Linked DNA regions of Rattus norvegicus. The protein of the gene in region 3 purifies or fractionates together with the protein of the main gene of each other region. This does not show direct contact. Links are inferred from orthologs where the notes say so. Each region holds a gene or a part of one and is shown on either strand. Other genes may lie near its edges.

Evidence for each region.
Region 1: the proteins of Eef1a2 (region 3) and Eef1g purify together in Homo sapiens (affinity purification with mass spectrometry; 4 studies listed by BioGRID and IntAct, counting the BioPlex papers as one, with this or other methods). This does not show direct contact. The link is inferred for Rattus norvegicus from reciprocal best matches to the Homo sapiens genes EEF1A2 and EEF1G.
Region 2: the proteins of Eef1a2 (region 3) and Vars1 purify together in Homo sapiens (co-immunoprecipitation; 3 studies listed by BioGRID and IntAct, counting the BioPlex papers as one, with this or other methods). This does not show direct contact. The link is inferred for Rattus norvegicus from reciprocal best matches to the Homo sapiens genes EEF1A2 and VARS1.

The regions. Positions count from the first base shown.
Region 1 is NC_086019.1:215,287,659-215,292,892, reverse strand, and holds the start of Eef1g (elongation factor 1-gamma), read right to left. Parts: upstream 3,079-5,234; 5' UTR 3,076-3,078; coding exon 3,064-3,075; intron 2,068-3,063; coding exon 1,909-2,067; intron 1,090-1,908; coding exon 1,026-1,089; intron 889-1,025; coding exon 746-888; intron 407-745; coding exon 263-406; intron 1-262. Other genes in the region: Tut1 (speckle targeted PIP5K1A-regulated poly(A) polymerase), read right to left, coding at 4,072-5,195. UniProt on the Homo sapiens protein: Probably plays a role in anchoring the complex to other cellular components.
Region 2 is NC_086038.1:3,814,649-3,819,111, forward strand, and holds part of Vars1 (valine--tRNA ligase), read right to left. Parts: intron 2,035-4,463; coding exon 1,870-2,034; intron 1,772-1,869; coding exon 1,690-1,771; intron 1,362-1,689; coding exon 1,242-1,361; intron 1,132-1,241; coding exon 1,023-1,131; intron 942-1,022; coding exon 847-941; intron 756-846; coding exon 665-755; intron 458-664; coding exon 333-457; intron 251-332; coding exon 147-250; intron 53-146; coding exon 1-52. UniProt on the Homo sapiens protein: Catalyzes the attachment of valine to tRNA(Val).
Region 3 is NC_086021.1:188,649,524-188,654,768, forward strand, and holds the start of Eef1a2 (elongation factor 1-alpha 2), read right to left. Parts: upstream 3,111-5,245; 5' UTR 2,859-3,110; intron 2,153-2,858; exon of another isoform or gene 2,084-2,152; coding exon of another isoform or gene 2,078-2,083; intron 1,589-2,077; coding exon of another isoform or gene 1,514-1,588; coding exon 1,370-1,513; intron 1-1,369. UniProt on the Homo sapiens protein: Translation elongation factor that catalyzes the GTP-dependent binding of aminoacyl-tRNA (aa-tRNA) to the A-site of ribosomes during the elongation phase of protein synthesis.

The DNA.
Region 1 (5,234 bases), on a different chromosome or scaffold from region 3:
TCCTGTCTCAGCATCTCAAGTGCTGGGATGACAAATATAAGCCACCACATCCAGCCTTTCACCCATCTTCAATAAGATGAAAATACCCTGGGTTCGGTCCCCAGCTCCGAAAAAAAGAACCAAAAGAAAAAAAAAAAAAAAAAGATGAAAACAGTCACAGTTCTCAATGCTGGGATTCCTACAGCCATTAACTGGTCTGTCCTAAGTGGAACCGGGTACCCCAGTACAGGTCTACCCCTGTCAAATGGGACACAAACCTTACCTGTTTATAGAGCCACAATAGGGTACAGACAACCGTGATGTCAGCCAGTGTTACTCTCTCACCAACCAGAAAAGTCCGTGTCTTCAGATGAGTGTCCAGCAGCCCCAAGATTCGCTTCACCTCCTCTTTGGCATTTTCAGTGGCCTGTTGTTTTGAATACTCAAACTTAGTGGACAGCAAGTCCCTTTCCTCATATCCACCTACCAACAGAACTAAAGAAGCCATTTCATCAGCACTGACTCAACCCCCACCCTGTTATCATTAGACTCTGGGGTCAGTTGAAATCTATCAGAAATGAATCTCGTGCTAAGTTTCTTCATGGTCAGTATGACTTTATTTCCACCATACTGATGGTAACCACTTCAGTCTTTGCACTGCCCACACAACTCCTGGTGTCTTTTCCTTCTTCTACTTCCCAGCCCCAATACGTAGTCTCTGACCCCAACTCTGCCCCAGCTTCTCTCCCCAAGTTCTGAAGCGTACCTGCTTGTTGTGGTGCATAATGCCTAAGGTGGGGAACACCCAGGTGCTGGCTGGAGGGACGATGTCACTGTCAGCAAAGCTCACCCACTGCACCACTTGCGCTGCTGCCTCTGGTGTACTTCCCCGTAGCTCCTCATTGCTTACTGCAAAGGGAGAACATGTAGCTTAGAACTTGAGATCACGTCAAAACCAGTGCAATCTCTGAATCCATCTTGTCCACTGCAACCACTTCTGCAGCCTTACCCCCAGACCCTCTCACTCCTGTATCCCCTCAAATTACCGTAATAGGCGATGGCATTGCTCTCAAATACGCAGAATCCGTCATCGCCCTCAAAGGCTGGAACCTAGGGAGAAAGTAGTGAAAAACACAAAAGTAAAACACAGGGATTTCTCGATAGTCAACTCTTGGGATTGAACTATGCTAAATAATGTTAAGACAGACACCTCTTGCTATGCAAACTCACGACATCTTAACTCAGAAATGAAAAATACTTAGTATCCCTTATATGAATTCACAATGGCTGGAATTCAAACATGGCTGAAACACGGTGCCCTATACCCTTAATCCCAGAACTCTTATCTGAAACCAGTCAGGGCTAGTTGAGACCCCACCCCAAAATAAACAAATTCAGATACAGATGTGGGACAAGCCCACAGCCTTATCCCCCAAAGCATAGGTGCAGTCCAGATTCAGCGTCTGCCCTCCTCCACGTTTAACTTAGGATATTTAGCTCTACTCAAGCCCTTCAGGATAAGAAACTCTCAAGACACACTTAATATTGGTGTACAGATAACACCTGGTAAAAATAATTTCTATCCCACAAACATACAGCAGGTCTGTAATTCTTGACAGTCACTCAACAGCTGTGACTATCCCTTCATAAATACCCACCTCCAATGATTCTTTTTCTTTAGGGAGAATACATACTGTATAGGTTCACCTCACACAGTCTTCCTGCCTCAGGCTCCAGAGTACTGGGATTACCAGAAGCTTTCAAAATTACTTTTTTTCTTTGGACAGTCAAGTTCAGGGGCTTTCATAGCTTACATCCCTGGCCCCATGAGATTTTTAAGGAAAAAAAAAAAAAAAAAAAACAAATATACTGCGGAGGCCATCTCCAGAATAACGGGACTCTAGGGATTCCTGCTGTTCTCCTACTCACCTTGCCCGCAGGAAATTTTCTGAGAAATTCGGGGGTGCGGTTGGTTTGGCCGAAGTGGAAGTGGGGTGGTGCGGAGAGCACGCGGATCTGAGCCCCGCTGTACTGAGCAGCGATGAGGGCCTTGAAGGCCCTCCAGTTTTCAGGGTATGTGTACAGGGTCTACAAGATAAAGGGTGAAGGATGGCCTTGAGCAAAAGAATCCTGAATGCCACTCCCCACGCACACATCCAGGCAATTCCAATGTGAATAGCTTAGTTTCATTCCCGGGGAACCAAATTAACCGGGTGTGCCCTATGTAATCAGAGTCCTCTGAAATACCAAGGAGAACATACCAGCTGCTAAATAAAGCTTACCGACAGATGTGACCTCTCTTAAGGACATCTCTATAGCATTCTTCCCTTCAAAACTTCTGGTCCCATCCGACTCCCACCGGCCTAAACACACGCACACATTCACACCCATCTCTACCAGAACCCTTGTTTCATTCATTCATTCGTGGTGGCCCGGCGTCTACTTCCCGGATGGTACTACTTCAAAAGCACGCACTAGACCAAGGGGTTTCAAAGTTCCCCTTAGAATTGCCACGTTGAATTCTAAAGCTCATCAGTTGTTCTTCCTAAAAGGCCTTTCTTTGCACGTCTTGAATTAACATCCCTCTGGTCCTGTCCTGCAGTGAGCTCCCAGCTGTCTCCCTACAGGGCCCGAATGGGCTCATTTCACTGCTCATTTATTCCTCGGGCTCTCAAACCTCCCCGAAGGTCAGCTCCAACTGTGCCAGTCGCCCCTTCCCACAAAGACCTTCTCCTTTTCACTGTCCTCGTTGTTGACCCACAAAAAGATGGCAAAAGTTCCACCAACCTGCTCAGCCACCACATCTCAAAATGGCAGTGAGGCTAAACACACTTTTTAAAGGTCCAGACAGTGGAGACCCGGCATCTCTTTTTCCCAACCCCAGAACGTTCCACCTCTGGCCTCCGAGACCCAGCCTCAGTTCCCCTCCAGGCCCTAGAAACCCTGCTCTCCGACCATATGGCCTGTGGACCCCAAATCGGCTCTCGGCTTGGGTCTGAAACTCTTCCGGCGCCGACTGGCCCAACCCAAGTAAAGGATGGCGGCGGATAGGGTGACCGGAATCACTGGAGCCGGCAAACTTACCCCAGCCGCCATGGTGATTCCGCAGAGAAAGGGGGTGGGGCTGTCGGCGCTGCCGCAAAGTAAGCCGCAAGGGAGACAAGGGAGGAGGGAAGGATTGAGTCGTGTGGAAACAGCGGCCGGAAAGCGAGGACGGCATAAAAGGCGTACGCACGACAGTTCCGTCTCCTGCCCCGCTGAGTTGGAAAAAGTAAGGGGTGGGGCCGCTGCCTGGAGCGCAAAGAGAGAGCGCCTGCGTAGTATAGCTGTGGACACTGCCCCGCCCGCGTAGCCGACCAATCGGAAGCCTGATAAGCGACGGAGCTCGCCGAAGGAGGGGAAAAGTGTGAGAACCTGGCGGAAGCACCGCCCCTCCACGGCTGGCACCTGGAACCTACGACTATAGGAACTGCTGCAAGGAAGGGGTGACAATTTACTGAATTCATTTTGTTCCTGCTTGGGTTTTTCTATAAAGGGATGTCTGTTCAGCTGGGGCCCAGGGCCGAAAACATCTGAAAGCAGGTCTGCTCCGATTAAACTCAATGCTTTTAAAACTTCAACAAAGCAACGCGGACCACTTGCCACGTCGCCTGCACCTCTCAGGCTTGGCTGCGCCCCAGAGAGTCGGGTAAGGCAGCCCAGTTCTGATACAGTAATTTACACATACCAAAATTTGAAAATCTTGTATCCAACTTATGAGCAGTTTGAACTCTTTCATGTAAAAAGATAGAAAAGAAACCCTAAACTCGAATTTGTGGTGGTTCCCATCAACTGGAGCAGCAGGACAAACCCTGTATAGGCAAACCTTATTAGAAATCAATGCCTTTGCCTCGTGGTGGTGGCAATCACTATGAAAGTGTTATGAAATGGGAAGGAGAGCTCTGAAGTAGAATTAATAGGACTGTTTTAGGGTACTTAGGGCAGAGGCTACCCTAAGGCGAAGAGAAAAGGTGTTCCCAGGAAGAAAACAGAAGTTGTCCAATGTCTGTTTGAAATAAACTAGCAGCTTTATTGCTTTTGAGGCTTGGCTCCTCACTTGAGGAGATTTTTAAGTGCTTGAGGGATAAAAACCTGTAGAAAATGATGAAGACCAGGGAACAGGCCTTGGGGATCCTGGAGGGGTGCCACAGTGAGTGTCTGCTCAGCTTGGGAGGCCGATGCCACAAAGGTGAGGAGGGGCTCCCCCTGTAGCCTCTGCTGCTCACTCTTTGGTCCCTTCAGTTCCTGGGTTACTCGTGCTTCCACTGCCAGCCACTCTGCTCCGGTGCTGGGACCTCCTCTGCCTTCTTCCTTGGTTTGCTGCTGAAATCGTCTCCGGGCACGCCGCCTCCCCTGCCATATTTGGTGCCACAAGGCACAGCGCCAACTCACTGATGACGGGTGTGAAGCCTCCTTCTCTGTCTCACCGGGGGACCCTTCTCCAGCCCCCTCAGGTTCCATGGGATTCTGCTCAGCAGTCTTGTCTAGACATTTTGCAGTCATCAGGGGCAACTCCCCTGGTGGTCCACAGTGCAACAAGGCCCAGTCCTGAGGTGTCTCTCGCAATTCTATTACCATTTCTTCTACCTCATTTTCACTGTGGTCCCCTGCACATCCCTGTGGCTCCTCTTTCCCTTCCTCACAGCTCTTTTCTTGCCCACTAAGTCTTGGTCTTTTGTTTGCCCCTCCCAGGGGAGAGTCTTTAGATCTGGCACCTTCCGACCGTCGTCTCTTGGTTCCCTGTTCTATATGGCATCCTAGTGCTTCCCTTAACACACTCACCAAAGCTGTAATGATCTGTGGAAAGGGGGCAGAGGGTAAGGGGATAAGCTTGGCAGAGAGCAGGGAGCTAGGGGAGCTGGGCTGCAAAAGTGGGAGCAGTCCCCAGTCCCGGCCCCGGGAGGAGCGCTGCTGGTACTGGAGACTCCGGCAGTAACTAGCTGCTGCTCCACAACTGCTCTGCAGACGCTTAGCCACGCGGCTGGTCACATTGGCTGCAACATTGTGACTCAGATCAAAGGGGTCCTGGAGATTCATGGGGCCAAGGCGCAGCCCTTCCCAGAGATCAGAAGGCAGGCCCCCTGCCACCATCAGTGCCTGACCTTCCCGCAGGGACAGCAGGGAGCCAGAAAGATCCCAGCAAGACACGCAGGAGAAGAACTGGGCCAGCAGGGAACCTGATGGAAGCAGAGTAGAAAGGGGTCACCTGGAAGCCA
Region 2 (4,463 bases), on a different chromosome or scaffold from region 3:
GCGCACGTACCACTGTGGCCTTAGCAGAGGCTCCACCACATCCTTGGAGCGGCTGCAGCAGGAAGGTCATAGAGAGGAGGCCATGTGCCAAGCTCCCAGAGGAACCCCACCCTTCCCTTCCCCATGTGCACCGTCCCCGGTCTCACTTGCATAGTGGCACTACCATGGGGTTGTCCTTGATGCCGCGGAACAGGCCCTGCTCCTTCAGGGCCGCCAGCACAGCCTTCCTGGCCTCAAACCTGGGCAGGCCCTGGATGGAAAAGGCCTCATTATGGCAATGCCCAAGACTCTCCACCTTCCACACAGGCCCCTCACTGTGCAGACATCCTCACCAGGAAAGGTGGAGGCACATTGACAAGGGCCCCCTTCGAGTCCATGATGCTAATGGCCTCCAGCCTATGTCGCTGCCCAACCTCATAGTCATTCTGGTCATGGGCCGGGGTGATCTTCACAGCACCTGGAGGACACAGGGTGTGCCAGGGTTCCACTGCATGCTGGGGGTTCCCTCCCACACCCCTCACGCTGAAGGGCGTGGCTCCCAGACCCCTCTGCTGTCTGCTCCCTAACACGGTGTCTTGTATCTTGTATCCAGCTTCAGTTCTGCCTACTGCACCGAAGGTAATTTTTCAGTCTTTTCTCCCAACAGGCGACAGCCACGGCTCACCTGTGCCAAACTCCATGTCCACAAAGTCATCAAAGACAATGGGAAGGCTCCGGGACAAGAACGGGTGGACGACACTCTTTCCCTTTAAATGCTTAACACAAACAGGGAAAGGTCAGGACTGGCAGGGCTGGGCACCAGGCCCTCACCCACCCCAGAACACAGCATGAGTGTCCACGCCCCACCTGGTATCTGGGATCTTTGGGGTGCACAGCCACAGCCACGTCCCCCAGCATTGTCTCGATCCGGGTTGTTGCCACCACCACCTCCTCGTCGCTGTCTGGAGTGACAGAAGGCTCTGTGTCTGAGCTCCCTCCACCCGCCCCCTCCCAGCCCACATCCTGGTGTCCTTAGCTCCCACCTGAGCCTTGGACCTTGTAGGCAAAGGACACGAGGACCCCAAACTCCACCTTCTCCTTGTAGCCAGGCACAGAGAGCAGGGTGCGGCCCGTCAGCTCTTTCTTATCCACCTGTGAGATGGGTGTTTAGAGAAGTGGGCCAGGCCCAGGCTAGGGAAGACCAGAGGGAGACAAGTGGTGGGCAGAGGGAGATGGGCCACTGTGGGAAGAGGCTTACACACCTCGATGTCAGAAATGGCAGAGTTGAGGGTGCAGGACCAGTTGACCAGGCGGGTACTGCGGTAAATGACCCCTTCTTCATGGAGCCTAACAAAAGCTTCTGTCACAGTTGCTGACAATTTCTAGGGTGAAGAAAGTGGAAGTCAGAGAAATCTTGGTGCCTGGAGGCCAAGGACAATGCCCAGGGTGGGGGTGTGAGGTGAGGACTGAGGGGGGACTGGGAGTTCACCAGGCCTATCCTAGAGTCCCACACAGAACCTCCAGGACAGTTTGTTTTTTATGGGAGTGCAGGGCAGGTCAGGGTCTGGTGATGCAGGGGCAGCTGGGGGCTTGCAGCTTAGGTCTGGGCTAGGCACTGATGGCTGAGCCCTTGGCTATGCTCTGACTTCCTGGCAGAGGGACCCCACCCAGGGAGCACCCCTGCCCCGCCCCAGGGTTCTGCCTGCATACTGGATCCATGGTGAAGCAGGCTCGATCCCAGTCCAAGGAGCTGCCAAGTTTCTTTAATTGGTGGTAAATCCTGTCACCCTTCCTGGAAGTGGACAGAGTCCAGGATAAGCCTTTGGCCACCCCTGTGGGAGCCCAAGCCCGCAGCCAGGGCTGCAGCACCCGTGGGCTTGCTGGACTCACTCCGCTTTCCACTTCCAGACCTCCTGAAGAAAGGCCTCGCGGCCCAGCTGGTGACGGTTCAGACCCCGCTCTTTCCAGAGTTTCTTTTCCACCACCACCTGGGTGGCGATGCCAGCATGGTCACAGCCTGGGTTCCATAGGGTGGTCTCCCCCCGCATGCGGTGCCTGTGGGACACAGCAGGGCCAGAGGGTGAGCCAGGCAGGTAGACCCAACACCAACGGTCTCACGGTTCTGCCAGAGGGGGTCATGGATGCTTAAGAAAGGGATGGATTGAAACCCTCTCATTCTGAAGTCAGGCAGAGAAAGAACTTGGAAGACCAGCAGAACAATCTCTAAAAAGAACAGAGGAGGTCTCACCCAGCCAGAGAGCTACAGGCAAGATGGTCCTAGGAACAAAGCCACAGACAGAAGCCAATTTCATCCACAGACCCAAGCAGATTACCCAAGAGGTCTTGCTCCTAACTCGCCATGTCTTATTAAAGTGCCCGACAGAGAAGATGAACAGGGCGGGCACAGGCCTCTCCAGATCCTAGTGACTGCAGAGGGACGAAAGGCATGTTCTTCAGTGGAATGATTGATACGATGCCCGCGCCCTGTGAACAGGGGAACCTTCACTCCGTTCACAACAAAAGGGGAGGCCAGGAGGAGGAAGAGGCTCACAGATGTAAGGGAGGACACAGGCGATAGGAAATGCCAGCCGATAAGGTAAGAAGGTGTTACGTGCCAGGGTGGTGGCTTCATCTAATCCCAGCACCCGAGGCAGAGGCGTGGATTTCTATGAGTTCCAGGCCACCAGGACTACATACGCCGGAATACCCATCTCAATGTTCCCATTTGCCAAAAAGGGCGGAGACACAATCAGTACTTCTTTTTTTTTTTTTTTTTTCTTTTTTCGGAGCTGGGGACCGGACCCAGGGCCTTGTGCTTGCTAGGGAAGCGCTCTACCACTGAGCTAAATCCCCAACCCCAGGGTTTTAGTTTTTATGTGTGCACCTGCGTGGGCGTGTGTGCATGTGGAAGGCAGAAGGTAAACTGAAGCCTCAGTCCCTGTCTTCCACCTTGGGCTGTGTTCTCCTGTTCTCCACTGTAAGAGGCTTACAGCACAGGCGTCCATTGCCCTCAGTGCTTCTGAGATTACAGATGTGCAATCCACGGGTCCCGTGGATCCAAACTTGGGTTCCCGTATGTTTGCAGCGTGCTTTATCCACTGAGCCATCTCCACTGTTCCCTCCCAACCCCTTGCATGTTAGAGGACCATCATCAGTGTACAATGAGGGGTTGGGGATCTAGCTCAGTGGTAGAGCGCTTGCCTAGCAAGCACAAGGCCCTGGGTTCAGTCCTCGGCTCCGGGGGGGAAAAAAAAAAGACAAAATAACAGTGTACAATGAAGTAAGGATTACAGTTCTGCTTGCTTATCACACTGTACTAAGATCTTTTGTGGAAAGGGATTGTAGCAAGTCTCTTAGAGATAGCAAGAAGTCGCCCTTACAGACACCCCAGAAAACATTAACATACTTTATAAACTTTAATGTGCTTTGAGGAACCGGGCGGCAGTGGTGCACATCTTTAATCTCATTGCCCTGAAGGCAGAGGCAAACTGGGTTTGAGGCCAACCTGGTCTACATAGCAAGTTCTAAGACAGACCCCAACTGAAAAAGAAGAAGAAAAGCGCCCTTTGGTATCATTACTGTTAAAAACAAATCTGGGTAGAGCAGCTCACCCATGCAATCCTCATGCTGGTTGGGGAAGGCAGGAGTGTCAGGAGTTCAAGGCCAGCCTTGGCCACCTAACTCATTGCCATTGGTCACCCATCTCAATGCCATTCTGGGCTACTAAAACCCAAAAACAGGAAATCAAAAGACCAAAAGCCAAACCAAACCAAACAAACCAAAGCTCCCTTAGGGGAGCTCAGAGAGATGGGTCAGCTGTGAGGAGCACTGGGCCAGCTGTGAGGAGCACTGGGTCAGCTGTGAGCAGCACTGGGCCCAGCTGTGAGGAGCACTGGGCCAGCTGTGAGGAGCACTGGGTTAGCTGTGAGGAGCACTGGGCCAGCTGTGAGGAGCACTGGGTCAGCTGTGAGGAGCACTGGGTCAGCTGTGAGGAGCACTGGGGCAGCTGTGAGGAGCACTGGGCCAGCTGTGAGGAGCACTGGGTTAGCTGTGAGGAGCACTGGGCCAGCTGTGAGGAGCACTGGGTTAGCTGTGAGGAGCACTGGGCCAGCTGTGAGGAGCACTGGGTCAGCTGTGAGGAGCACTGGGCCAGCTGTGAGGAGCACTGGGTCAGCTGTGAGGAGCACTGGGTCAGCTGTGAGGAGCACTGGGCCAGCTGTGAGGAGCACTGGGTCAGCTGTGAGGAGCACTGGGCCAGCTGTGAGGAGCACTGGGTCAGCTGTGAGGAGCACTGGCTGAGGATCTCAAGGATCTGGGATCTCTTCCCAGCTCCACATGGCTGCCCACAACTGTGTAACTCCAGTCCCAAGGCATTGCTGGGCACATGGTACCCAGACAGAAATGCAGGCAAAACACTAGTGCATGTAAGCTAGTACAAAATGAGTAGATAAGTAAATCTACTAAAACTGCAGGGTGTGCACCTG
Region 3 (5,245 bases):
CCTGTCCTGGCCCCAGGGAGCAACCATGAGAGGTTGACAGTTGGCTTAAAGTGCCTCGAACGGAGGACCTCTGTCCCATCTCTCCGGTGCTGTTCCTCAAACCCTGCTGTGCCTCACCTGAGGCCGCCCAGATCAACCAGCCCCACCCTTGCTCCCCTCCTAAATGGCTGTGAACACGCAAGTCCCCCAGCAGAGGGCGTGAGTGTCTGGGAGTTGCCAAACTATCCTTGCCACCTGAGGCTAAGGCTCTACACCCAATTAGAGGTCAATTATCTCATTAGGTTTGGGGCTGTGAAAAACAAAACAAGTCTCAAGTTATTTTTTAAGGGAAATTTTAAACATGAGTAAGTTGCTCAAGGTTTTGAGAAAAGTCTGGTTCCAGATCTTCCTGTAGTGGATGAATTCTTCTAACTCTGAGACATCTCCCCTCCCCAGTTCCACCAAAATAGGAGAAGTAGGAGTAGCCCTACCAAGAGCAAGGCTGGCTGCTTTTTGGAAACTTGTGCCAGGGTCAGACTCCTGGTGAGACTCCTACAGCCTGGACCAGAGCTGTGGTCATCGATGCTCAACTGAACATAGCTCCCTACCAGAATTTCAAATGACATGCTTCTGCATTCCACGGATGATGCCCAGCCTGGAGGGGCTGGCTATTCAGACAGAACCAGACAAAACCCAGCTGGGACCTGACCCAAGTGACCTTCAAACCCTCAAATCCCTCCTACCTCCTCCCCCTAAAATCACACCCTCTAAAAGGTAAAAAGCATCAGGCCTAGACACACAGAATTGTGGCTCAAAGTCCCATATACACACTGGAGCAAGAGCTCTGCATAGATAGTTAATGTCCTCAGGCCTGCCTTAGCTCTTATGCAGGAGCCAGCCCTTCTCAGAATGAGCAGGGGTAGGGGCAGAGAAGAGAATCCAGTTACAATCACTGCTCTTTCGTAGGTCTCAACCAGGAACAGGTTAGCAAGATCCCCCCTACTCCAGGTATCATCCTAGATCAGCAACCCTCCTCAGCTTATCTGGAGAAAGTGGAGCTGGCAAGCCTGCTGCCCATCAATCAACTATTAATAGCATCCTTGAGCCCTGGCTGTTGGAAGACAAGTGAGGGCAGCACCACATTCAGCCCAGTTTCAGTCCTGGGGAGCAAGAGGATAAGGCTTGAAGGGCCCCCTGGCACTGGCCCACCGAGGCCAAGAGTGAAGAGTCTTATAATGGACCTGGGGAGGGCACAAATTCCCCCTCCCTCAGTATGAGACAGATCTAGCAACATTCTCAGGAGACTGCTCTGTTTACCTACCCATATCCCCTTGCACTGAAGGAGGTAAACTGGGCAATGAAAGAAAGCACCAGGCCCCCAGGTCCTCACCTCTGCTGCCTCCTTCTCAAACTTCTCGATGGTCCGCTTGTCGATGCCGCCACATTTGTAGATGAGATGGCCTGTCGTGGTAGACTTGCCTGAGTCCACGTGGCCAATGACCACAATGTTGATGTGTGTCTTCTCCTTGCCCATTCTGCCTGAGTGAGGGACGGGCTGGCACTGTGGGGGCTCTGGCTCTGGGTTGAGGGTATTTGCTGGGCAGGAACTCTGTGGGGCCAGGGACAAGAGAAACAGGTGACTAGGGGGCCCTAAGAGAGCCCAGCAGAGATACCCACACCATTGCATTGTTTGGGAGCTCTTTTCCTGACCCAGTCTTCACCTGAGCCTGGATAGGGAAGAATGACACCCTCCACCCCCAAACCCTTGTCCTAAACGTGTCCAGACACATTGCATTCATAAGTCACCTGTTTCTCTACCCTATACCTTAACCCAAATGGTTCGTTAGTGTGTAAGTGTTTGGAGAGTTGATTTGGAGGAAAGTTCCTTAAGGAAGGGTTAATCCTGTCTGGACATCACAGAGCAGCAGACTGAGTGAGCCCCTGGAGCAGCCAGGAGCCCTGTGATGAGTCACTGTGCCCAGCTCTACAGTGCGCTGTCCTCCCTGTCCTCGATGCCTCCACCCCCCTCCTTCACACACACACACACACACACACACACACACACACACACACACCCCAGGGATGGACACTGCCCTACCCCCATCTGCTGCCACCATGAAGAGAAGGCCAGCACTCCTCAGCCCCTCCTCAGGCAAGGGCGCCATCTTCCTCCCTCTGCCCACAGGCTGGCTGAGGAGACAGCTGGATGGTGCCCAGGCATAGGCCCAGAATAGCTCAGGCCCTCCCCACAGGCAGGGGGCAGCCATCAGGGCCGAGAGGTAAGTGCCCTGTTCTAGCCAGAAGAATAAAAATCCCACCTGGCCCAGCTAAGCAAGTGCCCTCAGAGATGCCCCGACCCTCTCCCCTACCATCTGGTCCAGGCCCTGGGTCTTAGTACCTGCGCATCTTAGAGGTCAACCAAGAATCTCGGGCCTGGTGGGATGGGGGTGCATCCTAGGGTGGTAGCCACCGTAGAACGTGAATAGGGGTCCTCAGGTTTCACTACCATCACCACCCCCCGCCCTACTCTGACAAATCACGAACATCCTCAGAGCCCCAAACCACCATGCCAGCACCTGCAACGATCGGCCTCGCAGAACCCCCGGCAAGCCCCAAGGTCACAGTGACAGCATGATGATTTCAGGAGAAACATCCCCCTCCCTAACCCCTGTCACCAAGTATACAATCACCTAAGGGACTTACTACCCGACTGCCACGGGGACCCCACCATGCCCTGTCTAGAGACACCCCCTCCCAGCCCAGAGGTGCAGCCCAGCTAGGTGCCGCATGTCCCCCTCTACCTCAGGACGGGTTCACAGGAAGGCGAACCCTGGTTGGAAACCTAATCAAGGGTCTCAGACCGGGTTGTGCGTCCTTACCCAGAGCCGAGGTCTCAGTCAGAGGGACTGGTGGCGCTGGCGCCGGCGGTTTTATCTCTCTAGGAGGGGGTCCACCTATTGACGGTGCCGGCGCAATGCACTGCGCCCCTGCAGTACGGCAATGCGGTACCGGAGGGGGGAGGCGGGCGCCGGGAGGCTGGCAGATGGGGTGCGAACGATGCGCGGACGCAGGGGCCGCGCACCCACGGACGCCGGCCGGCGTAACGAGGATCCGAGAGGACGCAGCTGCAGAGATGTACCCGAGCGAGGGAGAGAACCACCGAGCGAGAGCACAGACCAGGAGAGAAAAACAGGCAAAAGGGCGGTGCAGCGCTCAGAGGTGGGGGCAGGGAAACAGAGCCAGGAAAGGAGGGGCAGGGATGGAGAGAGGCGAAAGAAGCAGTAGAAAGAACTGGAGTAGCAGAGACAGTGGTTGCTTGAAAGCAGGGGGAAAAAAAGGTACATCCAACATAAAAATGTCCCCAGGAAAATGGAACACAAAACAGGGAACCAGCAAGTAGACCCAGGAGAAGAGGTCCAAGCCTAGGTCAAGATCCCTGCAAGCCCTGATTGTGGCCATCCATTGCTGGCCCTGCTCATGGTTGAGTCCCAATGAACATGAAGCTCAATTTCCAGAGGTTTTCCATGATGCCCTACCCCCGGGACAGGTGCTTATTTCACATAGACCCTACATGACAGGTCCTTGAGGCCATCAGCAAGTCTAGCCCGGATCCAACCTTCTTAGGAAGCTCTGGAAAGAGGTTTTTTATACCTATTCCCTTAGGTATAGGGAATTTATGAAACCCATTCTCAAAGTCAAGGCATACTCCTGATTGCATTTCTGGTCAGACGGTCTTAGCTAAGGCCACTAAGAACATCCAGAGTTCAGACCCCCCCAAACTCCTTCAGGCCCCATGGGTAGGAACTAGAGAGCCCCTGAGGTTTCTAGGAAGATTAGGATATCCAAAACTGGCCTTAAGGGGGTTGTGGCCACCATGTGTCGTCACCAAGGACTTCTTCAGAGATGCCTATCATTTGACCCAGACATTCCTGTTTTCCAATGCTGCCACCTGTCCCTACCCACCCAATCTTTGTCATTGCAGGTAGGAAGCAGGTAGGAAGAAGGTAGGAAGCAAAGGTTCCTTGAGTATGCTGAATAACAGCAGGCCTGTGCCTATCTAGACATAGAAGACCGGGGTCAGGGCCCAGCACCAACTACTGAGGCAGCCCCCGTGAGGGGCCCTGGAGATGGGTGACCAATTAGGGCAGCTATCAGCTATGAGGAGAGAGTAAGGTGAAGCCTGAGGGTCTGTCTGGCAGAGGGCAGGCAGAGACTAGGCAGGCCTCTCGGATGACCTGGCAATTTTGAAGACTGCTGAGGCCGTCGACTGGGAGCCAGGAATTAAAAATAAATGCCGGGCAAGATATTAGCATTTACCCCACCCACTTGTCCGACTCATCTGTCCCCGGAATGCCTTCCTTCTTACACAGAGACGACCAGGCCTGGTTTAAGATTCAGGAGGCAGAGTGGGCTCAATAAAGAGATCCATCACCCAGAATCTTTGTGACTAGCTACCTTCCCTTTAGTTTTGGAGTCTTCTTCAGACACCCTTTCTCTACATAGTCTCTCTCTGTGTACGGCAGGGAGGCAGAGCCAGCAAGACCCAAGGCCAGGAGTTTACCCATCTAGAGGACTGACCCTTGATGACCAGAGGTCATGTTCTGCCTGAAACACCTATACGTTGACCTAGGGGAGGCAGGCCAAAAATACCTCCCTGTCATTGGGATATACGTTGCCTTCACTGCAAATCCCTGAAGGCTTTGTCGGTATGAGAGACCCTGGGAATATGCAGAAAGCAAATCTTTAAGAGGTATCACTGTTGATCAATAACATTCTCAGCCCACTGATAGCCTTGTGGCCAGCAGTTCCCAGGAGCCACTAACCCAGCAGGGCTAAGTAATGGCCAGATACCCAGTAGCCCCAGCAGCAGAGCCTGCACGTATCTCCCAAGTTCGGTGTTGGGACTGAATCTTCAGGAAGTAATGCTGGGATGGGACTTTCTAGGGGGGCATTGAGGTCCTGAGGGCTTCAGCCTGACCCTACCATATGCCTATGGATGTCTCTCCTGCCTCCCACCTTCCACTGTAGCACCTTGCCAGAAGTGTGGGCTTCTATCCTCTTCCACTGCATGGTTAGCATCACTTAAACTTCTAAGAAGTCTGTGATACTAAACAGCAGCAGGTCCTATTAGTAGGCCCAGGGACCCCAAAACCTATGAGGAAACTGCAAAGAAAAACTAAGCTCAGTGCCTGAGACCACACGAGTAGGTAGCTCAAAGCATTAGAATCAAGACAGTGTAACTTCCGGACAGAAGCCTGGGTCTCAC